Alligator mississippiensis: one gene and its partners. The protein of the gene in region 1 purifies or fractionates together with the protein of each later gene. This does not show direct contact. Links are inferred from orthologs where the notes say so. Each region holds a gene or a part of one and is shown in the gene's direction. Other genes may lie near its edges.

The links. Proteins that work in one complex are often made in the same cells at the same time.
Region 2: the proteins of STAT3 (region 1) and TRIM59 purify together in Homo sapiens (affinity purification with western blotting; 4 studies listed by BioGRID). This does not show direct contact. The link is inferred for Alligator mississippiensis from reciprocal best matches to the Homo sapiens genes STAT3 and TRIM59.
Region 3: the proteins of STAT3 (region 1) and CEBPB purify together in Homo sapiens (affinity purification with western blotting; 3 studies listed by BioGRID, with this or other methods). This does not show direct contact. The link is inferred for Alligator mississippiensis from reciprocal best matches to the Homo sapiens genes STAT3 and CEBPB.

Annotation. Positions count from the first base shown.
Region 1 is NC_081827.1:162,182,047-162,189,198, forward strand, and holds the start of STAT3 (signal transducer and activator of transcription 3), read left to right. Parts: upstream 1-4,142; 5' UTR 4,143-4,250; intron 4,251-7,152. UniProt on the Homo sapiens protein: Signal transducer and transcription activator that mediates cellular responses to interleukins, KITLG/SCF, LEP and other growth factors. Once activated, recruits coactivators, such as NCOA1 or MED1, to the promoter region of the target gene.
Region 2 is NC_081830.1:68,585,028-68,592,803, reverse strand, and holds the start of TRIM59 (tripartite motif-containing protein 59), read left to right. Parts: upstream 1-4,770; 5' UTR 4,771-4,876; intron 4,877-7,776. UniProt on the Homo sapiens protein: E3 ubiquitin ligase involved in different processes such as development and immune response. Serves as a negative regulator for innate immune signaling pathways by suppressing RLR-induced activation of IRF3/7 and NF-kappa-B via interaction with adapter ECSIT.
Region 3 is NC_081832.1:13,203,883-13,211,866, reverse strand, and holds CEBPB (CCAAT/enhancer-binding protein beta), read left to right. Parts: upstream 1-5,010; 5' UTR 5,011-5,159; coding exon 5,160-6,059; 3' UTR 6,060-7,478; downstream 7,479-7,984. UniProt on the Homo sapiens protein: Important transcription factor regulating the expression of genes involved in immune and inflammatory responses. Also plays a significant role in adipogenesis, as well as in the gluconeogenic pathway, liver regeneration, and hematopoiesis.

The DNA of each region.
Region 1 (7,152 bases):
GATATAGAGACATAGTTAGACCTATTAGTCTGAAGTTAAGTAGAGGGTGGGGTATGTTTATACTTTATAGACTAACCAGCATAGATATGTGTGTATGTATACATACAGGGGCAGATCCAGAAGGGTGCACTTGTACCTGCTTTGATTTCTGGTCCACCCAAAGCTTAAAACCAAGTGCCTGGCAATGGCAGCAGCATTTCTAGTCAGGTAGTGCTGAGGGAGTTACTTGACTGCATATCTTATCATCATGTACCTGATCCCCTCTAACCTCTACACCCCACAGGTATTAATGACCCTCTTTTCTTTTTAGTGGTCTTGATGTTCCACCAACCAAGGTAGCCTGTGTCTTGCAATTGTGCTGTCTGTTAGCTGTTCCTGGTCAGGAAACCCCTATTTCACAAAACCTGCAGACTGCTTGTTTTTAACTCCATTCCAATGAAGTTATATATTTTTTTTGCTTCAAACTTCAACTGAATAGTACAGCCTAGGCCCCTAGCATAGTAGTAAAGCTTCTTGGGTGTTTATACATGTGCTCTGGGAGTGGGGGGAGGTGTTTTAATTAGAGCTGCTCCAAGAGCCACTCTAATTAACATGCCCTGAACATCTCGTATATCAGCATCCCGATGCTGAAAAATGTTGGCAGGGGCACTTCAAAGCGTGTCGAACAAGCTTTAGTTACAATGCCCCCCCCACCGTTTTTCAGCATGCGGATGCTAATACACAAGATGCTGGAGTCTGCTGGAGCATAGTAATTGCCATGCTCCAGCAGACTCAATTAATCGAGTCTGCTCTGATGCACTGTAATTACAATACATAGGAGCAGCCTGCACATGTATAGGTGCCCCTAGTTTCTTTTTAACTAGAGAAAAATGTATTGTTTTTATATGAGGTGATGGACCTCACCGCACCCTCTTCTTCAAAATCCTAGGTCTGCCCCAATATGCATGTGTGTGTATGTATATGCATGTGTGGACACGTCTATGTATGTATATACAATATATATGTGTATGTAAGTATGTATGTATGTGTATATGCATCTATGTGTATGTGTGTATATGCCGTTGTGCATGTGTTTGTGTGACCTGTTTGTATATGTATGTATGTGCATGTGAACAGGTGTGTATACATATGTGTAGGTATGTGTGCATATGTGTGCGTACGTGTGTATGCATCTATATATGTTCATACATATGTATATGCATGCATTTAAGTATGTGCATGTCTATATGTGTGTGTCTATGCATGCATGTACGGCTACGTGTATGTGTGCATGTATACATGTGTGTGCATGTGTATATGAGAAGATGCAAACACTATGTCTATGGTTCTGTGTCCTTTCCTGAAACCTGTACATGACTTTCATTGACCTGACAAAAGCATTTGATACAGTCAATTGGGAAGGCCTTTGGAAGATCATGGCAAAATTTAGATGCCCGGAGAAATTCATTGCAATGGTTTGGCAGTGCCATGATGGCATGCTTGCTCTTGTTGTGGATGCCGGTGAGTCATCTGAGCCAATGGAGTTGAGCAGGGCAGTGTGTTAGCCCCAATCCTCTTCAGTATGATTTTCTCTGCTGTGCTTACAGATGCCGTTCGTGACTGTGATGCTCTGATTGACATCAGATACTGGACTGATAGCAAGATCTTCAATCTAAGGAGACTACAGGTGAAAACAAACTTACAGGAAGTGACTGTGATCTTCTGTTTGCTAATGACTGTTCCATGAATACCAAATCTGAGTCTGACATGCAGTGAAGTATGGACTACTTCTGTCGTCTTAGTGTTGATTGTGAGACCAAATCTCACAAGCTGAAGAGAAGTGATACACCAACCTGCACCAGGAAAGCCATGTGTAGAGTCTACCATCACAATGAATAGCCAAATCCTCCAGGCAGTGGACAAATTCACTTATCTCAGAAGTACACTGTCACATATGCTTCACATCACTGATGAAACAAATGCCAGAATTGCTAAAGCAACCATGGCCTTCAGCGACTACATGTAAATGTGTGGGAGTCCAGAGGCATCGGTCAACAAACAAAACTGAAGATCTACAGAGCCATTATGTTGCCAATCCTGATGTATGCATGCAAAACTTGGATGATGTACAGATGCCATGCTATGAAGCTGAATTACTTTCACATGGGCTGTCTGAGGAAACTGATGAGGATAAGATGGCAAGACAAGGTCCCAGACACTGAGGTTCTTACATGGGCAGCCATTCTAAGCATCCACATTCTGTTGATGAAATTACAGTTGAGATGGGCTAGCTGTGTTGCCAGGATATCAGATGAGCAACTGCCAAAGATCTTTCACAGTGAGCTGAAGGAGGGAAAGAGCTCTCCAGAACAAATGCTTCAAGGACTCCCTCAAGTCATCCTTGAAACATTTCAACATTGACCCAAAATCTTGGGAAGATTTTGCTCATGATCGTTCCACCTGGTGAAGCCTCGTCCATACTGGAGCTACTGTCTATGAGCGGAGAACTGCTGAGGCAGAAAAGTGCAAACAGCGTAAATCTCACAACAGCAGCAAGCAACCCAAAGGGGCATCTCTTGCTCAGTCTGCCATAGACCAGTGTTTCTCAACCTGTGGGTCACAAGAATGTATGAAAGAGTCACAAACAAACCTTAAAAATGGATTAATGAACTTTTTAAAATGGATTCTCCATTAAAGGAGAAAAACATGGGGAAACGGTGGCTTTTCCCCTGCAGGCTGGAGGAGTTCTAGCCTGCAAGGGGCTGTTTGGATCCCACCTCCCCTTTGCCCTACACACTGAAGGGCTGGGGCCTGGGGGTAGTGGGTCAGGAGTGAGGGGCAGTGGGTTGGGACTGGCCATCAATGTTTACAAATGGGCCCTGGTACAAAAAAGTTGAGAACCACTGGCATAGACCGTTCTAAGCACAAATTGGCCTGATCAGCCATTCACGTGTTCACAGAAACCAAACCAACCAGTGATGTCTTGGTCATTTTCAAATTCAAAGGATGAACAGCAACAAGTGTGTATGTGTGAGTATGCATATGTGTATGTACAGACATATGTGTATGTCTACACGTGTGTATACATGTGTACTTAGCTCTCTATTGGCGAAACATGGACTTCTTATGCTAAGGAAAAAAGAAAACAAGTTTCCATCTTTGATGTCTCTGTTGTATCCTGGGCATAACATGGCATGACAAAATCTCCAACTTGGCTGTTCTGGAATGGGGCAAGATGCCCAGTATGTTCATGGACCCGAGGCAAATGCCTCTGTTGGTTAGGGCATGTGAATCGTATGAGCCATTGCGGCACGTGTGTATTACATCCCCCCCGCCCCCGCCCACCCAGGTAGCCTGTCTGCATTTTACCAGCTAGGTTCTTTCTCCCCCACCCCCAACCTGTCTCTCACCTATTGTCCCCCATTCCCACCTATATTTTCACAGACCTGCATTTTGCATATTGGCTCCTGTTCTACCCAGGGGAGCAGACACACACCAGCAGAGCAGACTCGCTCTATGCCTGAAGAAGGGTGCTTGGGCCTGGCAGGTTGCAAAGAACAGTTGGTCTGATAAAAGAGATCACATCTACCCAGAGAAACTTGTCCGCCTATGTGTAAATGTGTGCGCGCGTGCGCAGGTGTATATTTGTGTGCGTGTGCATGTGTACACGTGTGTATATGCATGTGCGTGTGTGGGTCCACACCCCCGTGCAGGTCAACGGGATGGGTGGGACCAGCGCGGCGGGATGAGCCGCAGCATCCCAGGGCGCGGGGTGAGGGGCTCTACGTGCCCCCCGCCCCCGCTTGGCTCGGCTGCTCTGGCCCTTTAAGAGGCGGCAGCAGAAACAGCCCCGGCTGCGCTGACGTCAGAGTGCTGCCCGGAACTCAGCTGAGTTTCCAGCACAGAAGTTCCCGGCAGTCGCCGTTCCGCCCGCCGCGAGCCCTGGCCTCTCCTTTCCACTGGCTCGGCCGCGCGGTGGGAGGTGCGTCCCCCACCCGGAACAGCCGCCAGGGGGCACGCGCCGGCGCCTTCCTGATTAATGAAAGAACCAGGAGGGACTGGAGGCGCTGATTGGCTGGGGAGGCCCGTCCCCCGCGAATCCTGAGCTCACCCGGGAAGCCATTGGCTAGGACGATTGTGACGTTAGGGTCGAGGGGGCGGGGCTATTAGAGTGGCAGGTCTCGCGTCATCCGCGGAGGGATCAGATCCCCGCTTGCCGCAGGGAGCCGGAGCCGCCGTCCCCGGCCCGGCCCGGGAGCCCTTCCCCGCAGGTGAGCCGAGCCGAGCCTGGCCTCCGGGGGGGCAGTGCCCGGGGTGCTGGGGCACGAGTGGGTGCCCCTTCCAGGGGGCTTTGGCAGCCGCTGGGCGTGGGTGCTGGGTGGCATGCAGGGTGGCTTGGAGCATTTCCAGGCTCCCGGCCCAGGGGAGCCAGGCCTGTGGGCCCTGCAGAAAGTGAGGGCTGTGGTTGGCAGATTTAAATGCCCTGGAGCTAGGAAATCTGGTGGTGATGCCTGTGGCAACCGGATCTGGTCCCCTCTCGCACATCCGTCACGTCTTGTATCAGGTCATCTGGGACGCTGGCATGGTGCAGCTGCATTTGTGGTTGGCAGGAATCGGGTGCCGCCACCATTAGGGAGCTCTGTCTGTGCCAGTGCTTGTGCCATCTCTTGTCCCTGGATCTGGGCAGGGGCCCGAGGAGGAAGGTTGCACATGGGGTACAGGCAGATGCACCTGTTGCCATTGCTGGGTGTCAGTGGAGAGCCTTCCTTGTGAATCTTGGCTTCCAGGCCTTTGCGGACTCTATCTTGGTGCTCTTCCTCCTGAGCTGCTCTCAGGCTCCTTGCAGCCTTTCCAGGCTTTGAAATTGCTGGTTGGATTATGACCCTGCTGAGAGTTGTTTATGATGACCCAGCCAGTGTCTGTTTGCACAGCAGTTTCAGTAAAACAGGGTGTTTCATGTCTACAAAACTTCACTGCCAGCACTCCCAAATTGCCAATCCCCTGCACTGTTTGGAGTCCAGTAGCATGGATAGCTGAGGCTGAAGAGAGTTTTTAGAAAACCCTATTCCCAGTAGCATGGATCTTGAAAAGCTTCTTTTTTTTTTTTTTTCTAACAACGGTGTTTATGTTTGTAGTTCAGATAACCTGGCTCAAGAAAAGAGTCATCAGTTTCGTTTTTGTTGTTAGTCAGTTTCCAATTTCTAGCTCTCCCTCAGTAGACAATCCTGTGGCATTAATTAGTACCGCAAGCACTGCGGAGGAGAGAAGCCTCCCATTGTTCTACTGCCTGCAGATGTGCCAGTCCTCTCCGAGAATTGGGCAGAACGTTGCCATTGCTTCTAAAGGGCGTGGGATCAGAAACTTTAAGAGGAGAAATGAATGCCCCCACCTGGCATTTCTTTTGCAAAAGAGATTTGTTTCCTTCTCACACCTAATAAAATTATTATAAGTTTGAGCTTGGCAGGAGTTGTTATTGGGGTGGACTGGTTGCTGCTGACAAAAATGTCTGTAAAGATTAAAACTATAAGGTCTTGTGTGTCCTGCAAATATCATCTCTTCTATGCAAGCAGGAGTATAAAATGGCCTTGTTTAATTCAGTGAACATACTTCTATTGCTGAATGCATTTTTAAAATGTAACACTAAGAGACTTGAGTCTAAAATGCCTTTTCAGAGCAGGAATCTATGGATAAATGTAGGAAAAATTCAAGAAACCAAAACATCAGGATTATTAGTTTATATTGGATCCTGGGATTTAGTTCCCAAGCAGATGTGTGTACTTCTCAGAGTTTTAACCATGAAATGATCCTTATCCCACAAATTTAGAAATGACTGAGGACAAGGATTTCTATTAGAGCACCTAAAGAACACAGAGCATAAGCTGCAGAACCGTTCCTTACAGGCATTGGTCCAATACCAGATCTTAGATTAAAATTGCTGTGATATTGAGTTTACTTGTAATGAAGACTGAAAACCAGAAACTTGTGGTTCTGTGTTTGGTCAAACCAAGGTTGGTGAACTGATTCGTGTTTCTGAGACAGGTGTGAACTCTGGCTTGCATATTTTCCTGTTGCTTGATGCAACTGCTCCAAAGTCTTCCGGTTAGAGAGAGTCTCTTGTGCAACATGGGCTTCATTGCCTGGACCAGACAGTGGTTTTGTAGTAGTTTATATAAAGAGAACTGACTGGTGTTATAAGTAAAACTCAAGGTCTCCGTTTCACATCAGTAGGTAGTAATACAGAGCAGCTGTGCCAGAGGTTACCTAAGTATTTCCCAGGGCCTTTTAGTCACTGTATCTGTATCACATAATCTTCAATGCAACTTGCCCACCACTTTATAGAAGAGTGATATGCCCAGGGTCATAAAAAGGATCCGTGACAAAGTAAGGAATTGAACCGTAGCCTTCCAAGCTTCAGGCTAGTGCTTTCTACATTGGTTCTGGTACTGCTGAGCTGAGCACCATTATGTCTGAGAATTGCATAAAGACATGTGGCTAACATCTGTCATGTATGCATTCTTTCACCTCCCAAGGGGGAGAAGTGTGTGGGATGTTCTAGCTTTGCACTTGTATATATGTGTACATGTATGCATGTTACAGCGCATAGGACCAAAAAAGGGCACTTGAAACAGACAGTAGAAGGTCCTGGGGGAGTTTGCCATGTAGTCTCTCACTAGCAACCAGAGATCTTCTGAGTGCATGGATGTACTTTTAACCTTTAGTGCCAGAGTGAATGCACCAACCACTGTCTTCATCCTGGAACTGTAGTTGGTCTTTTGACTAGGCTAGCCTGGCCTTGGTCTCTAAGAGCCTTGAAGGTAAGGATTGAGACCCTGAATGTGGTTTGGAATTCTCTGGGAAGCCAATGCCAGGTGCAGAGATCGGGTATGACAGTTTCTGCAGAAGAGAAGGGCTGCAGCCTCTGTACTTGTTGAAGTATCCCAAGCCCTGCAGGACTTTTGCACATGGCTGCAGTTCTGACAAGAGGTGATGAAGGTGTGAATAACTGAGGCCAGGTTCCTGTCTCCTTCTATGGAATGGAGTCTCCCAGCCAGCTGGAGAGGGTAGAAGTTGTTGCTTTTGCATGCTGTTATGGGAGGGAGAGCTCAGGGTTGGTAAGGATCCTGGAAGCATACTTGAGCCAGAGATGGAGGTGACCAATGGGCTGCATATCTT
Region 2 (7,776 bases), on another chromosome or scaffold:
TCTCAAAGAACTGCAACATGTCTATGAAAGAAAAAAATATTTATTTGTTTTTTATATATATAAGGCAATTCCAAAAAACAGCCTCTCAACACTCCTCTAACATTCGGAAGATGTAGGCAGCCCTATCAAGTCTGGAAATGGGACCAGTGGGAGCTCCGTGACGGATCAATCCTAAGTAGCTAGTTGAAATCTTACACAAAGTGAATCTGAACTTGACTGGAGAAGCTTGCCTCAGACTTGGTATTTTTTTCCCCACTTCTTAAGAAACAGTTTTTAGATCCCTTTGTTGAAGTTCTTTTTCTCTGGTGAGGAAAAAAAATCACCATCCCAGGTTCAGTTCTGTGTTGTCTAATGGCCAGATCTTCCTTTGCCTGGGGTTCAGTTTCTCTGTAAAGGGGAGACTCTGGGACACTTGGGTTTCTGTTTTTCCCCTACGTGAATGGGAGACTTTCATCCATAAGGACTTCAGTTTCCTCTTCAATGAAAGCAAACAGCATAATGGGCTGCCTTTGGGGTTTCGTCTCTTTCTACGAAAGGGAAGTTTCCTGCCACTTGGATGAGCTCCTTACCTCGGGAAAGGAGAACCTGAAGCCCATCAGCCTCACCCTTGGTGGAGGGGCAGCCCCTGAGCTCGCCTCACGCGGTGCGAGTGAGCGGCTCCTCGCCACGGGGCAGCCTCACACTGTCTGAATGCGGCGCTTCTCGCCCACCGGGATCTCTCCCTCCCTGCAGTGGGGCAAGACGACCTGCGAGTCGAGCACCTCGTCCTCGCGGGGCCTGACGAGCGGCGGCCCCCTCCTCCCGCGCCTGCCCGCCTGGGAGTGTACCGAAGTCACGAGGCGGGCCGAAGCGCTGCAGCTGAAGCCGGTGGCGGCGGCCGCTAGGGCGCAGGCCAGGATGCACATGAAGAAGCTGGGCCCGAAGGTGGAGGTGAGGCGAAGGGGCTGCAGTTCCTTCTCCGTCTGCAGCCTGCTGCGCGTCACCTCGAAGAGGCAGGAGCACAGCGCCGCCGCGCCCAGGGCGAGCAGCGCGGCCAGGCCGTGCAGGAACGGGGCGGCAGCGCAGGCTTGCTGCAGGCCCAGGAAGTCCAGCAGCAGGGCGCTGCAGCCGCTGAGGATGGCGACGAGGCAGCAGATCGCTATGGACAGGATGAGGGGCACCCCGGCCGGGCCCAGGAGAGGCGAGTCGGGAGGGGGAGCTATGGGGTTAAGGGCCCACACTGCTCCCAGCACGAACTGCACCTCGTCGCCGCTGACCAGGACCCAGCTGGGGTAGGCCCCGGCCAGGAACATCAGCCCGACGGCCAAGGCTTGGGCCACGACCGCTGCCAGGCTGCCCGTCCGCCTGCTGCCCGCCAGGCCCCGGAGGAGGCGGCCCGGATCCTCGGGGCCCTCCACCTCCATGGACCCGGGGCAGGGAGGGCGGAGGAGAGTCGGCTCCGGGCAGCTGTGCCCCGCCCCCGCCGCGCCGAGGCCGTGCTCCGATGGCCCGGGCGGAGGCAATGCTAAAAAGGGGGAAGGGGGAACAACCTGCTGCCGCTGCGCGGGGCGGGACGGGGACGGGCTGCAGGCAAATCCGCGACTTCCCCGGGGCCGGGGCCAGGCGCAAGGTTTGCTTGGTAAATAAATCCCCTAAAAGGAGATGCGTCTGCCTGAAGGACCCTGCGGGCTTTTGTCCCTTCTTCATTTTGTTAGTAAACTAGGGGAGGGGGCCGGTTTTAACCTTTGCTCTGCCTGTAGAAACATCCTCCAAGGTACAGCCTGACCTTGCCTGATGGTTACAAGGACACAGGTTTAAATTCTTGTAAGCAGCACATGCAGCTAAAAAAACCTAGTGTAGATAAAATTAAAAAGAAAGCTTTGCAGTTACCATTTATTTGTGGAATTACCAGCTTAATCGTTTTTTATTCAACATCACTTTTAAAAAAAAGATGTTGTTTGGCAGCCTTTTACATGAAAAAAATTCCTGTTACTGAATGGGTTACAGTATTGTTCACATCCAGGTCTCTGGTTTCAGTTGTCATAATCCAAATCAGGTTAGTAGTAATCAAATTTACTTAAAATCCACTTCAGATCAACAGTGACCAGAAATCATTATGATCTGATAGAGGATCAGTGCTCTGTAGGAATGAGTTTGATTTTAGTTCAGTTCGTTAGCTGGGCATTTGTATATTACAAGGTCTGCTGCCATAATTAGCCTGAATTGGCAATCTGAACAGACTAACAACTGAGCAGGTATGGAGGAGGTTCACCAACTCTCATCCACAAAGGTAAATCCACTCAGAGTAGGAGCTGTGAGACAAATAATATTTAATCTATTATGTAAAAATAATTTTATTATGAGAGCCTCTGTAAGCATTAAATTCACAGGAAGAAAAATATCTTTTGCTACCTACCTTTGAGGAAAATTCATATTTTTGTATCGGCAAAACTGCAGGGTTAATTGAGTGAAACACAAGAGAGAAAGATGTTATGCTTATAGAAGACCTTTTAAAATATTAGTTTTGTATTATCCAAGGCAGATGTTTAAGTATTTTGGAATGATGAGACTCTTAATATTAATTTGCCATTGCACTGTAAGTAATATGATTTGCTGACTTTTTTAAGGCTGCCATAATATTAGTGTCTAAGAATGTGTTTGAATTTTTATTCCCGTGACTTGACAAATTATAAATAAACCAACATAATCGTGTCTATGTGGAAAATGTACACACCACTGGGTATTTGACCTATAATGTTTTTAGGATTATCAGTGTAACAGATGGTAGATCACAATGCCAGCCACGAAATCCCTCAATGCGTCCACTTTCTAATACTTGCAAACTCTGTTTTTCCCACCTGGTATCCCAGAGCGGAGATGTTCTGGATCTTCCATTTCAATTCCACAGCCTTCAAGTCCCACATTGCAGTCAGAGCCTTCCTGGTCCTAGACTGAATTCTCTTCAAATCCTTGTTCATAGATTCATAGACATTAGGGCTGGAAGGGACTTCGTAAGATCATTAAGTCCAACCCCCTGCCCAAAGGGTAGGAAGTCAGCTAGGGTCAAGGGATCCCAGCAAGATAAGCATCCAAAAGGATACATTTTTGTTCCTTAAAAGTGCCCAGAGTAGGTCCTTGCACCACCTCTGTGGGGAGTCTGTTCCAGGCCTTGGAAGCTCAGACAGTAAAGAAGCTTTTCCTTATGTCCAGCCTGAAACAGTCTTGCAGGAGTTTGTGACCATTGGACCTTGTCATCATCTGGGGTGCTCTGGTGAACAGATGTTCCCCCAGATCCTGATGAACACCCCAATATACTTATAGGCTGGCACCAAGTCCACCCCTTTTTTAAAGTCCAAATGTATAATATCAACCTGTTCCCTTTTGTCCAGATGATACGTCACCTGGTCATAGAAGGAAATGAGATTGGTCAGGCAAGACCTACCTGCAACATGTAGCCTTCTGTTAGCCTGTCAAGAATGATTTCTTTGATCATTTTTTGATAATTTCTCTGATGATTTGTTGACCCTCCCTCATTTAATGAAAAAGATTTTCAACTGTCTGGAATTTGTGAAAATGCTGAATACTTCCAGTTGATTTTCAGTCCCTAAAGATTAGTAACTGGTATAAGTCTGATCTTACTTCCATTTGCAGATGATAAAAGCAGGTGGCAAAACATCTTTACTTTTGTACTGGTCTTCACTACTGAGATTAATTTTTACCCTTAACGCAAATGAAAATCCATAGAGAGCATTTTCCTGTAAGGCAGTTACCTGGGGAAACGAAATCCAAATAGACCAGCTCTGTATTTGTTCCATTTTGTTTTGCCTTGGGTTTCTTTATTGACAGTGAACAGCAGATCAGGGTTTAGTAACTGACTGTAGTGGCATCAGCAAATTAGTTCACCAGTTTCCTCTCCCTGGGCATAAGTAAGTTACTTCATCATTGTAAAACTATACTAGATAGCGTGCTTGTACGTGAAAGTCCTTGTTTAAATTTACAGGTTTAATCCTACTTGCTTGATGATATCACTGATGGTTGCCTTGATACTTTTCAGGTGGAGCCCTGATTTTATGTGATAAATACAAATAGCTGCAGTGTATGGAGCTGTGGGCCATTTCCTATGTTACTTTAAAGGCTCTTAAGTGTATTTATCAGGAGTCATAAATTTCTCATAAATTGTAATTTTAATTTTACTCCAGCAAGTCATCAGTTTGTACAGGACTAGTATTAGAAAACTGCAAAATCACTAGCAGTTGGAAATGCACGTAACTTTATGAATATTCAATAGATTCCTTGAATTTAGGATCTACGGTGCATCTCTGCCAGTGTTAGTAGCGATAGAAACACAAGAATAAGTTGGCGAGAGATTTTACTACCCGGTCCTCTTACTCTGGCCAGTTTCCTGCTGTAACCGCAGGGGTACGACTACTGCAAGAGATGAGAGGATGCGTGCTTTCTCCTTTTTCATGTGCACTGTAACTGCGTGACTTAACTGAGAGAGGAGTCTGAGGGAAAAGCCCTGAAGCCCTTGCTTCAGTTGTGCTCCGCTCCCAGCGGACCCTGCAGACCACCTGAAGGCAGCCCCTCGGCGCTCAGGGAGGGGAGCCTGCACTCGGCCTGTCCGCATTCGCATCAGCCGAGCCAAGGTTTCGCCTTTTATGTCGGAGGGAGAGAATGCGCTTCCGCGCGCGGTGACGAGGCCGGCGGGACCGTTGGTGGCCACGAGCCGAAGTTCGAAAGTGGCAGTTGGAGCCTGCCGTTTACTTTCAAACTGCGCGTTCCGCGGCGGTTGGCTGCAGCGGCGCATGCGCGCGGGGGTCTGCGGCCTCTGCCTGTCCGCCCCCGGCCGCAGAGGGCTGCTGTAGGCGGCGGGAGACGGACGAGTCCGCGCGGGCTGGTGAGTGCCCGGCTCCGGGGGCGGCGCGGCGCGGCGCGGCGAGGCGAAGGGATGCATGCGGGGAAGAGGCTCCAGCATTAAGTGGGGCGTGGGCCCCGCATCCACGGACTGTCACTGGCGCCGCGCAGGCGGCTTCCCCCGTGCCCCGCGCTGTCCGGGGATAATGGCTGCCCGTGGCGGGGGCACGGCCAAGAGCTGGCATCTTCTCGGGGCGTCCGAGTCTCCCGAGTCGGAGACGGTGCGGAGGGCAACGGGGTGGCCACAGACTGGATCCGGCCGACTGGTGGGCGCCCGCCTGGGAGCTGGATCCAGTCATTTGCCCGGCTGGATCCAGCTGGTGAGCCACCTTGTGCCCGCCCCTCCACCAGCTTAATTAGGTTTCACTGATTATGAGCATATGTTTATGTAAGGGGCGCATCACCCCTTGCATGAGGAAGGAAGTGGGGGAAAAAACAAACCTTGCCAGTGTGACCCGGAGGGGGCAGAAATCCCTTTTTGACCCCAAATCTGGCTGTTAGATTAGAGTCTGAATAAGTAAGCAAGTCCTTCCAGCCAAGCACCTGAGTGCTTTTGAAAGGGAACACCAGTGCACCAGTGGCGAAACTGGCTGTTGGCTTCTAGGTGTGGTGAAAAGGAAAAGACCAACCCCCCCCCCCCCAAAAGCAGAAGCCAGAAAGTATTGCATGTGGGAGGGGTGTGCTCAATTCTTCCTCATCCATGAAGGTGACAGCAGAAGCCCTGAAACTGTTGCCTTGTCAGCACAGATCCTGGTTTTCCCTGGTAAAAAGTCACAAATTATCTGTTTAAAAAACCCAAAATCCGTGATAAAAATTAAAGTCCCCCCCCACCCTGCTAGTGCTCCTCACTCCCCCACACAGCCTCCCCAGTCCTGCTCGTGCCCACTACTCCACCCACAACAGCCCCCCAGTCTCCCACAAAGGCACAGACACACAGACAAATACACACACACACCCTAGCAGGTTAGGTGTGGGGGAGGATGGGGGGGAAAGGAAAGGGTTGGGGGTGCAGATTGAGAATGGAGGGAGGAGAGGTGCATCTCTGCATGTTCCCGGAGGGCGGGATGAGGGTAGGCCACACATGCACCGCCCAGTCAGGGTGGGGGGGAAGCTCGCATGCAGCAGCCCCCCACACTACCGCCTCTGGTGGGGAAGGGGCTGGGGGCTGAGGGAGCGAGGATGTGTTGGGAGAAGACATGGAGTGCCTGCTGGCTGGTGGGCACTCCTGGTGCAGGTTTCCCCCGCACCTTCCTCTCCCTCAGCCCTGGGCAGATGAACATGTGGGGGGAGATGGGAATAGAGCGTGCCCCAGGGTGCAACAACGGAGGGGTGAGGGGCACTGCCAGCCCCACGCGACACACCGTAGTGCCCCCCTCCCCCCCACCTTGGCTCACTGTGCCCACTCCCAGGAGCAGGGCTGGGGGGGGGGAGGGGGGAGTGCAGTGGTCCCTCTCTGTGGCCCATATGTGCACCGCCTGGCTCGGGGGGGCCACACACGGACTACCACTGCACCGCTACACCTTGCACCTGTTGCCCGCAGCTGGAAAGCCACATGGGATATGGTGGCAGCTGCTGCGTGCGAGCCCTCCGTCCTCTCCAGGGCAGCCATGTGCAGCTCACAGAGGGTCACCGCTGGCCTGGTCCCCCTGACCCTGCTCCGGGCAACCAGTATGGTGGCAGCGGTGCAATGGTGCTGGCACAGGGTGGCTGCCACCATGCTGCTGCTAGTGGCTGGCATTGCACTGCCCCTGGCCTCTGCCCCCACACTGCATTTTTGGTTGCACACTGTGGCGGCCGCCAGCACTGCTGCACTGCCGCTGCTGTGCCCCACATCACTTGCCCAGAGCAAGGGTGAGGGCAGTAGTGCCCTTCTGCGGGCCCCACATGCCTGCTTGGCCGGGTGGGGCTCACACACGGTGGCTACCAGCACATCCCTGTGCGGCTTTCTGGCTGCGGGCAAGTGGTGCAAGGTGCAGCGGTGGCGGGTGCTCCGTGTGAGCTCCCCCAGACTGTGGCTCACAGAAGGACGCTGCTGCCCTCACTCCCCTGGCCCTGCTCCTGCGAGCAGGCACAAAATGAGCTGAGGTGGGGGGGGCGGCAGTGCCCCTCACACCTCTGCCGCTGTGCCCTGGGACACGCTCTGTTCCCCAACTCAATCTCCCTTCCTGCCCAGGCTGAGGGAGTGGAAGGTGTTGGGGAAAGCCCCACCAGGAGCGCCCGTTAGGCAGCAGGCATTGCATTTCTTTCCCTGACACATCCTCGCTCCCTCAGCCCCCAGCCAGCTTCCCCCCTCTCAAGCCCCACAACCCCCAAGCCCCACTCACCTCCAGGAATGAAGAAGAGTGATCCTGATGTAGCCTCTGGTAAGTGAGTGTGTTGGGTCCTGCCCTTTCCCCCTCCCCCTCCGGGCAGGGTTAGGGGTTTCCTGCCCTCTTGCAAACAGCTCTTGCAGGCTGGAACTCAGCTAGCCTGTAGAACTCTTCACAAAAGGGGGAAATCCATGGGTTTCCCCGCTGAAAGGGAAAATCCACGTGTTCTGATTAAATCAGGAATTCCGTGGTTTTTTTCCATTTTTATGTGGGAAATGGAAAACCCCGATGTTTGCTTATCAAACACCTTTCTCCTGGAGATGGATTCCTTTCACCCCATCATGGGGATACCAAGTACTTTAATCCACATGTGATATTAGGGATATAAATACTGATTAAAAAATACCTGCTTAACCTGTTATTACAATGCTTAAATGATTATTTGCTATGGCAACCCCCTTCCTGGCCCATGTGAAGCTGTTCTGGCCCAGTCTGCAGGGCACCCCTGCCCAGCCTGGCACCAGTGGGGTGCTTTCAGCCCCCCAGCTCAGTGACCTCCCAAGGGCTGCACCTG
Region 3 (7,984 bases), on another chromosome or scaffold:
GTGATAAGCAGAGGTTAAGGTGGACAGAGCCGGAATGGGATCCAACTTCAGGTATTAACCACTGTCCAAAGTTTCACGCATGCAGTGTCTGTAGGACAGAGTGTTACTGAGTGCAGAGATAGATTTGAATCAAAGTACAGTGGGTGTCTAAGAGCTACTAGTGGTTGGGTGGGTGCATGTATATGAGAGGGTACAGAGGGAGCCAAAGTTACAGAAGGGATCTTGGCAGCATGAACATGGAGCACAGTGTCCAAATGCAACAAAAATACGCTGAACAGTTGCCTGTGTAAGTTGCTGCCTTTGTTGCAATGAGCCAACATTTCACCTCTCCAGAAAAGCTTCCTATAGGCAGCTGTTTCACCAGACACCTCTGTCTTGTCTCCAAGACCATCCATAGTGCCTGGCAAACACTCCCCGCAAGCCAGGACCTTTTTTCTCCTTCCAGTCTCTCCTTAACTCTCCTCTGGCATGCTGTCTGCAAAACAGCCTGCTGGAATTGCCCTGGAAGGCGGCAATTTATTGCAGGTGGAATTAATAAGTATATAAGGGGTGTCCATCAGGATCTGGGAGAACAGTTGTTCACCAGGGCTCCCCAAGGGATAACAAGGTCTAATGGCCACAAACTCCTGGAAGGCCAATTTAGACTGGACATAAGAAAAAACTTTGTTACAGTCCCAGTGTCCAAGGTCTGGAACAGACTGCCCCCAGAGGTGGTGCAAGCACCTACTCTGGACTTTTTCGAAAGGCATTTGGAGGTTTATCTTGCTGGGATCATTTAACCCCAGAAGACTTCCTGCCTATGGCAAGGAGCTGGACTTGATGATTTCACAAGGTCTCTTCCAGCCCCTAATGTCTATGACATCTATGAATTTGTATGCCTCGTCGTTCCTCTTCCATCCCCCACTCCTTGGTTCATTCAGTTATGTTTGTTTTTTAGTCTGCAGCTTTTTGGGACAGATTGTTTCTATCAGTTTGAACACTGCCTAATGCAATGGGACCCTGGTCTAGCTGAGACCTTCAAGCACTACTGCAATTCAAAGGATAAATAATAAACATTGACAGCTTGCAATGAGAAGTGTTTGTGATATTTAGCCAGACTCCATCTTACCTCTCAAGAGAATAGTTAGTTTAATCCCAGCTGGCAAATATTCTGCTCTTTGATCTGTTGGCATCATACAAACATCCTCTGCCCAAAGCTGACATGAACTCATGGGTCAGACTGGGAGAACTAGAAATGCAGAACTAGAGATCCTGAACCACTCAAAAAGGTACAGAGCGAGCCTCTGAGGAGGGGAACTTCAGCAAGGTTTTAGCAGAGGTCTGATCCAGGGAAGAGAATGCACCGGGAGTCCAGGTGTTCCTGTCCTGCAGCAGCTTAGGGAGCAGGATCCAAGGCCTGGTGGTAAAGTAGGAGTGAGCTCTGTTCAGCAGATCAGGACATGCTGTTCTCTTCACCTTTTCCCTTTTAGATTATCCTTGTTTCACCCTCCAGCGTCTGCATCTATAGTCAAGTGAAGCCATAAACATTTGTAGTTTATTGAGTCAGAAGCAAGAGCTGGCCAGAAAACTGGGTTTCTCTCCAGGGAACTTCTGTCTTCTTACTGAGAAACTAATTTCTTTTTTGAATAAAAAGAAATACTTTTGGCCGCCAAACTGAATGCTCTTGATCTCCCAATGAAAAATCAGAAACATTTTCCAGGAAAGCAGGCCTCTCCCACCAAAGCCATGGAGTGAGAAACCTGATTGCTTGCAGAAAATGTTTGGACAGAAAACTTTTTGTGCAGCCCTGGTAAGAAGTGCTGTTTCTCTCCACTTCTTCTTGGAGCAAGGGCTAGCGCCCAGCTCTTCAGTAGGAGGAATGTCTGTGTCTCAACATGTGCAAAGAGCAGGTTTCCAGAGCAAAGGCTCTTTAGGAGGCTTATTGTGCACATCTAGCCAAGCTACGACGTGACATTCTCCAGACAAAACTTAGCAGGCTGGGACTATAGCATGAATCAAAGTCTCCATCTGGCCATATCTATAGTTTAGATCATCCCCCACCCTACTTGAAGTCACCATATTAGCACTGACCAGTGCAGATAACACAGGTCAAAACCTGGGCCATTGAACAGTAAGGCTTTTGACAAAGTGTTTAGTCTCTGCCAGCAAGAGAGAGTCTCTGCCATGCTACTGAAAAATCAGTGTGCCAAAACTTGGTGTAGGGGATGAAAAAGATGCAGCAGGGCATCAGGTGAGCTTCTGACCTTCATCACCATTGTGGTTAAAATGTTTCTAGCACAAACAATACCACTTAGCACTGATAGCTAGGGAGAAGGCATGGCTTGCACACAGCTTGATATGGAGGTCTCACAGAGCTACACATGGATCAACCTCGTGAGGGACAAGCAGGCCCAGACTAGAACACAGCAAGCTGCTGCCAAGCAGTGGAGAGGGAGGCAGGTGTCCAAGCAGGGGAGCGTTAGACTTCCCAGGTAGATCCAACAGGCTCACCAAGCTGATTTTTACTGGCAACTAGTTTTATCAAATGGTTACGGTAAATCAGAGACCTAGCAAATGTAATACCAAGATAGACCAGAAGTGCTCCAGGGGTGCCTGCAAAGGGGGACATTTTAGAAATGGATAATGAACAAAGTGGATTGTGATGTGTTCAGCTACTGTACCATGTACGGCAGCAATTGGCTATAGCTGTCAGGTCAGGAATCAGGAGGATAAATGTGAACAGCTCACCACAACTTGCCAGAATCTGCATCCTGTGGAGAGTTTATATTTGTAGATGGATGTCCCCTCGCTACAATATCCAGACCCAGCCACACAACTCAACGCCCTTTTTATGAAATGCACAGTTCCCAAACATTAGCTGAATGACAGAGATGTGCAGTAGGAAATATGTGAAGTCTCCGAACCTGTCAGCGTACTTTACTCTGGAAGAAAATCAGTTTACAAGACCAGATGAAACAGAAAGAAAGAACGAAAGAACGAGCAAAAGAACGAAAGGAAAAAAAGAAAGTCCGATTTTCGAATCCTTCCTCTTTTTGAAGTCCGGAGGTTGGAACATTCGTGAACAGTTGACTGTTTGAATCGTATAATGCAATACCTGTTCCTCTGGCTTAACGTTACAATATTTCCCACACCGCAGGATTGCTTCACAGTAGACTAAGAGGCAGTGTCATTTTCCCTGCAGTGCTGGGTCTTCTTTGCTGAGGCAAAGGACACTCCTACTTCCTTTAATTATATGTTTTGTTTTAAATTGATGTCTTTTATTTTGGGCATGAATCACCAGCTTGTAAACAGGTAAATGTGGGAGTAAAAGAAGGAAAATATAAGTTGGATTCCCAAGAAGGGTGTCTTTAATTAAAATCGGAATCGAGTTTCATTCTCACTTCTCCAACTCGCTATGGCTCCTCTGGGTCGATCCTGCTGAACGAAAGAGCGTATCCCATGGCTTTGTGTATGTACGTTGCCTTTTCCCCAGTCATTCTGGTTGCAGATTGCTGTTCCAAAGCCCAGCTCTGTATCTCCTGTGTACCCTGACAGTTGCAACATACCCTTCAAGGTAAACACGCCAGGCCAAACTCTGAGGCCACAGTTCCCGCACAGAGGTGGGGAGGGCAGTTTGGGATTTGCCTGACACTCTAGATGCTTCCAGTTCAGAGGTGGCTTTTGTGGCGGGGCCTTCCCTGCTCTGACTCCACAGCAATAACCTTTTTGCTCGTTGTCATAACCAGTCACGAGCATGTCTGCACGGAGCAGCTTTGCCTGTCAGGGTGACAGACTGAGCTGGGAACTGGTCTGGGAATAAGAAGATCTAGTTTCCGTGTGTGGCTCTGCCCCAGACTTGATGAGTGACCCTGGATCAATCGCTTGCTCTGTGTCCTGATTTCCCCAGGCCCTGCCTCAGTTCCCCCCCCCCCCCCCAAATCTAAAATGGGGAGAAGGATACTCACCCAACGTTGGGCAGTACTTGGAGGGCACACATAAGCGGTGCTTTCAAACACTGTCACATTCAAAGGATCCAGCTTCTCCTGGCACAAGGGCAGCTTCTGTGTCTCATGGGCCATGGGGGTGTGTGTGTGTATGTGCCTGTGTGTGTGTGTGCATGTATGTGTGTATGGGTGAATATGTCTGTGTGTGCATGTGTACACATGTCAATGTGTGTCTGTGCATGTATGTGTGTACAGGTGTGTATATGGTGGGTTTTCTCCTTTGCAGTAATACAGATGACCCCAGCAGTCTTTCCTGCCCAAGCACAGGGCGGCTGGACCCGATGATCTGTAAGGTCCCTTCCAGCCCCTAACAACTATGAAACTGTGTATGGGTATGTGTGTGTAGACATATGAGTATGTGTAAGGGCATATGTATGGGGGTGTGTGTGTGTGTGTGTGTGCATGCATGTGCATGTGTGTGTACGGGTGTACATATGTGTGTAAGGGTGCATGTATGTGTATGTGTGTATATGGGGGTGTGTGCATGCCTGTGTGTACGGGTGTACATATGTGTCTAAGGATGTCTGTATGTGTGCATGTATGTGTGTGCATGCACATGTGTATGTGTGTGTACGTGTGTGTGTGCACATGCCTGTGTGTAAGGGTGTGTGTGTGTGTGTGTGTGTATGTGTGTGGGCACACATGTATGTGTGTGTACGGGTGTGTGTGTGTGCCTGTGTGTACGGGTTTATGTGTGTGTGTATGGGTGTCTATATGTGTGGGCATACACACGTGTACGGGTGTATGCATGTGCCTGTGTGCGTGCCCGGGGTCCCGTCCCCGCAGCCACGGGGTCTCCCTCCCTTTGCCCGGCCGGACGGTCCGCACCTGCCCGCCGGGACAGGGGCTGGCCGCGCCCGGGCGCTGAGCGCGGCGCGGTGCGGCGCGGTGCGCTGCGGGGCCGGGAGCGGAGCGGAGCGGAGCGGAGCGCGCGGCTCGCCGCCAGCCATGACGTGGCTGTTGCCATGGCAGCGCCGCGCCTATAAATCCCCGCGCGAAGAAAGTTTCCCAAGTCAGAGCCGTGGGGCGCGGGCCGCGGCCGGATGGTCCGAGCGCGGGGCGGCGGCGGCGGCAGGAGGAGCCGCGGGCAGTGAGCGGCGGGCAGCGCAGCGCAGCGCAGCGCGTCCCCAGCAGGCTCCGGAGCAGGCTGCGGAGCTGCGCCCGCCGTTCGCGTTCATGCAACGCCTGGTGGCCTGGGACGCGGCATGCCTCCCGCTCCAGCCACCCGCCTTTAAGCCCATGGACGTGGCCAACCTGTACTACGAGGCGGACTGCCTGGCGGCGCTCAGCAAGCTGCACCCGCGCGGCCGCCCCATGAGCGAGCTGGGCGCGGGCGTGGGCGAGCACGAGCGGGCCATCGACTTCAGCCCCTACCTGGAGCCGCCGCCCGGCCCCGCGCCCGCACCCGCGCCCGCTCCGTCCGCGGGGGGCGGCTTCGAGCCCGGCGGCGGCGGCGGCGGCGGCGCCGACTTCCTCTCCGACCTCTTCGCCGAGGACTACAAGGGCGGCGCCAAGAAGGGCGACTACGCCTACCTCGGCCTGCCGCGCCACGGCCACGGCCCCGGCCGCTTCGAGCCCGCCAAGGCGGAGCCGCCCGTCTTCGAGACGCTGGACTCGTGCAAGGGCGGCCGCAAGGAGGACGGCGGGGCCATGGCGGCGGCCTACGGCAGCGCGGCGCGCTCCTACCTGGGCTACCAGTCCGTGCCCAGCGGCAGCAGCGGCAACCTCTCCACGTCCTCGTCGTCCAGCCCGCCCGGCACGCCCACCCCGGCCGAGGCGGCCAAGCCGGCGGGCGCCGCGGGCTACGGCGGCGCCAAGGCCAAGGGCAAGAAGAGCGTGGACAAGCACAGCGAGGAGTACAAGCTGCGGCGGGAGCGCAACAACATCGCGGTGCGCAAGAGCCGCGACAAGGCCAAGCAGCGCAACCTGGAGACGCAGCACAAGGTCTTGGAACTGACGGCCGAGAACGAGCGGCTGCAGAAGAAGGTGGAGCAGCTCTCCCGCGAGCTCAGCACCCTCAGGAACTTGTTCAAGCAGCTGCCCGAGCCCCTGCTGGCCACGGCGGGACACTGCTAGCCGGCCCGGGCCCCGCGGCCACGGCGCGGGGCGGGGGCGCCCGCGGGGAGGGGGCGCGCAAGTGTGTGTGTGTATGTGTATGGGGTGGCCTGTATCTATTTGTGTGTGTGTGTGCGCGTGCACATGGGGGTGTCCTGTATCCGTCTGCCTGTGTGCGCATGGGGCATGGCATGGATCTGTGTGTGTGTGTGTGCACATGGGGGTGTCCTGTATCCGTCTGCCTGTGTGCGCATGGGGCATGGCATGGATCTGTGTGTGTGTGTGTGTGTGTGCACATGGGGGTGTCCTGTATCCGTCTGACTGTGTGCGCATGGGGCATGGCACGGATCTGTGTGTGTGTGTGCACATGGGGGTGTCCTGTATCCATCTGACTGTGTGCGCATGGGGCATGGCACGGATCTGTGTGTGTGTGTGCACATGGGGGTGTCCTGTATCCGTCTGACTGTGTGTGCATGGGGCATGGCACGGATCTGTGTGTGTGTGTGCACATGGGGGTGTCCTGTATCCGTCTGACTGTGTGTGCATGGGGCATGGCACGGATCTGTGTGTGTGTGTGCACATGGGGGTGTCCTGTATCCGTCTGACTGTGTGTGTGCATGGGGCATAGCATGTTTCTATTTGAATGTGTGTGTGTGCGCATGGGGATGTCATGGATCTCTGTGTGTGTGAGGGGTGTCTGGGGGGTGTATGGAGTCTGTGTCTACTGTATAGGGGTGTGGAGTGCGTGTGTGTGTAGGTATGGGGGTGTGTTTATATATGGGGGGATGTCTGTGTGAGGGATGTGTGTGTGGAGTATATATGTCTGTATGGGATGTGTGTGTGTGTATGAGGGGTCGGGTGGCTGCTTGTTCCTTGCCCCCCCCCCCCCCGAGACTGGACTGGGGCCAGGGGAGACCCGGGGAGAGCCTTGAGCTGTCTTTGCTGGTGTCTGTATGTACCTGCTGGCGGGAGAACCCCCCCACCCCAGCCTCTGCCTTCCTTGGGAAAGGGGGAGCTCCTGGGCTCCTCCATCCCTGCTGGAGGAACCGTGTTTCCTGGGGGCCATTGCTTTGTTTCAACAGCAGCCAAAGTCCCCCTTCCTGCCCCCCCCCCCCGCCTTTCCCCCCCTTCCTGATGCACGATCTCTGCAGGCTGGTGAATGCTAGAGTTATTTAAAACGGAGCGAGAGGGAGAGAGAGCAGAGAGTGATGCAATCCTTGAAACATGGCTGGGAATGCTGTGGACATGATGCAATCTCATGTAACTGTCAGTCATGAATTGAGTAATCTGTTTAAAGATGTTTCTACTTTTTTTTGTTTTTTTATTATAAAGAGTAATCTATTTCTATAAGAAAGCGTGTGTATATTTTGGGATCTATGCCTTCTTGCTGCGGTCGAAGCATTAATGAACAATTTTAATAAATTTTCTGGCTAGGAACAAGAGGTGCTTGTTTTATTTTCAAGGCACTGTCAAGGCAGAACGAATCGGCGCGCTCTGGCCTGCCTTGGTGAGAGCAAGGAGCAGAACTTTTTCTTTTTGACTCCGTGACTCAGCAGAAGACTAAGAGAGAACCGGTGAAGAGCCGAGCCTGGGAGTCTGAGCCAGTTCCCCCTTGCTGCCTCCTTGAATTTCCTCTAATACCTTGATTTTGCTGCTGCCTGGGGGTTTTCTGGGGATTGTTTTTTGTTTTTTTTTTTTAAAGCAGGTTTCTTGCTTCTCGGTTATGTGACTCGGCATTGCTGCTGCCTGTAGTTTACAGGGATAAACCAGAAGATGACAGAATTTTTGTGTTGAATGTCGGGAACTTTGGGTCAGCACTGAGACACCTACCACAAAACCCAGCTGAGGTGAGATGCATGTGAACAGCTCTCCCTACAGTCTTCTTTTGGGCCTTTATTCTGCAACATATTTCTAACAAAGTGCTGATAGTGCTGCTCCTCTGGAAA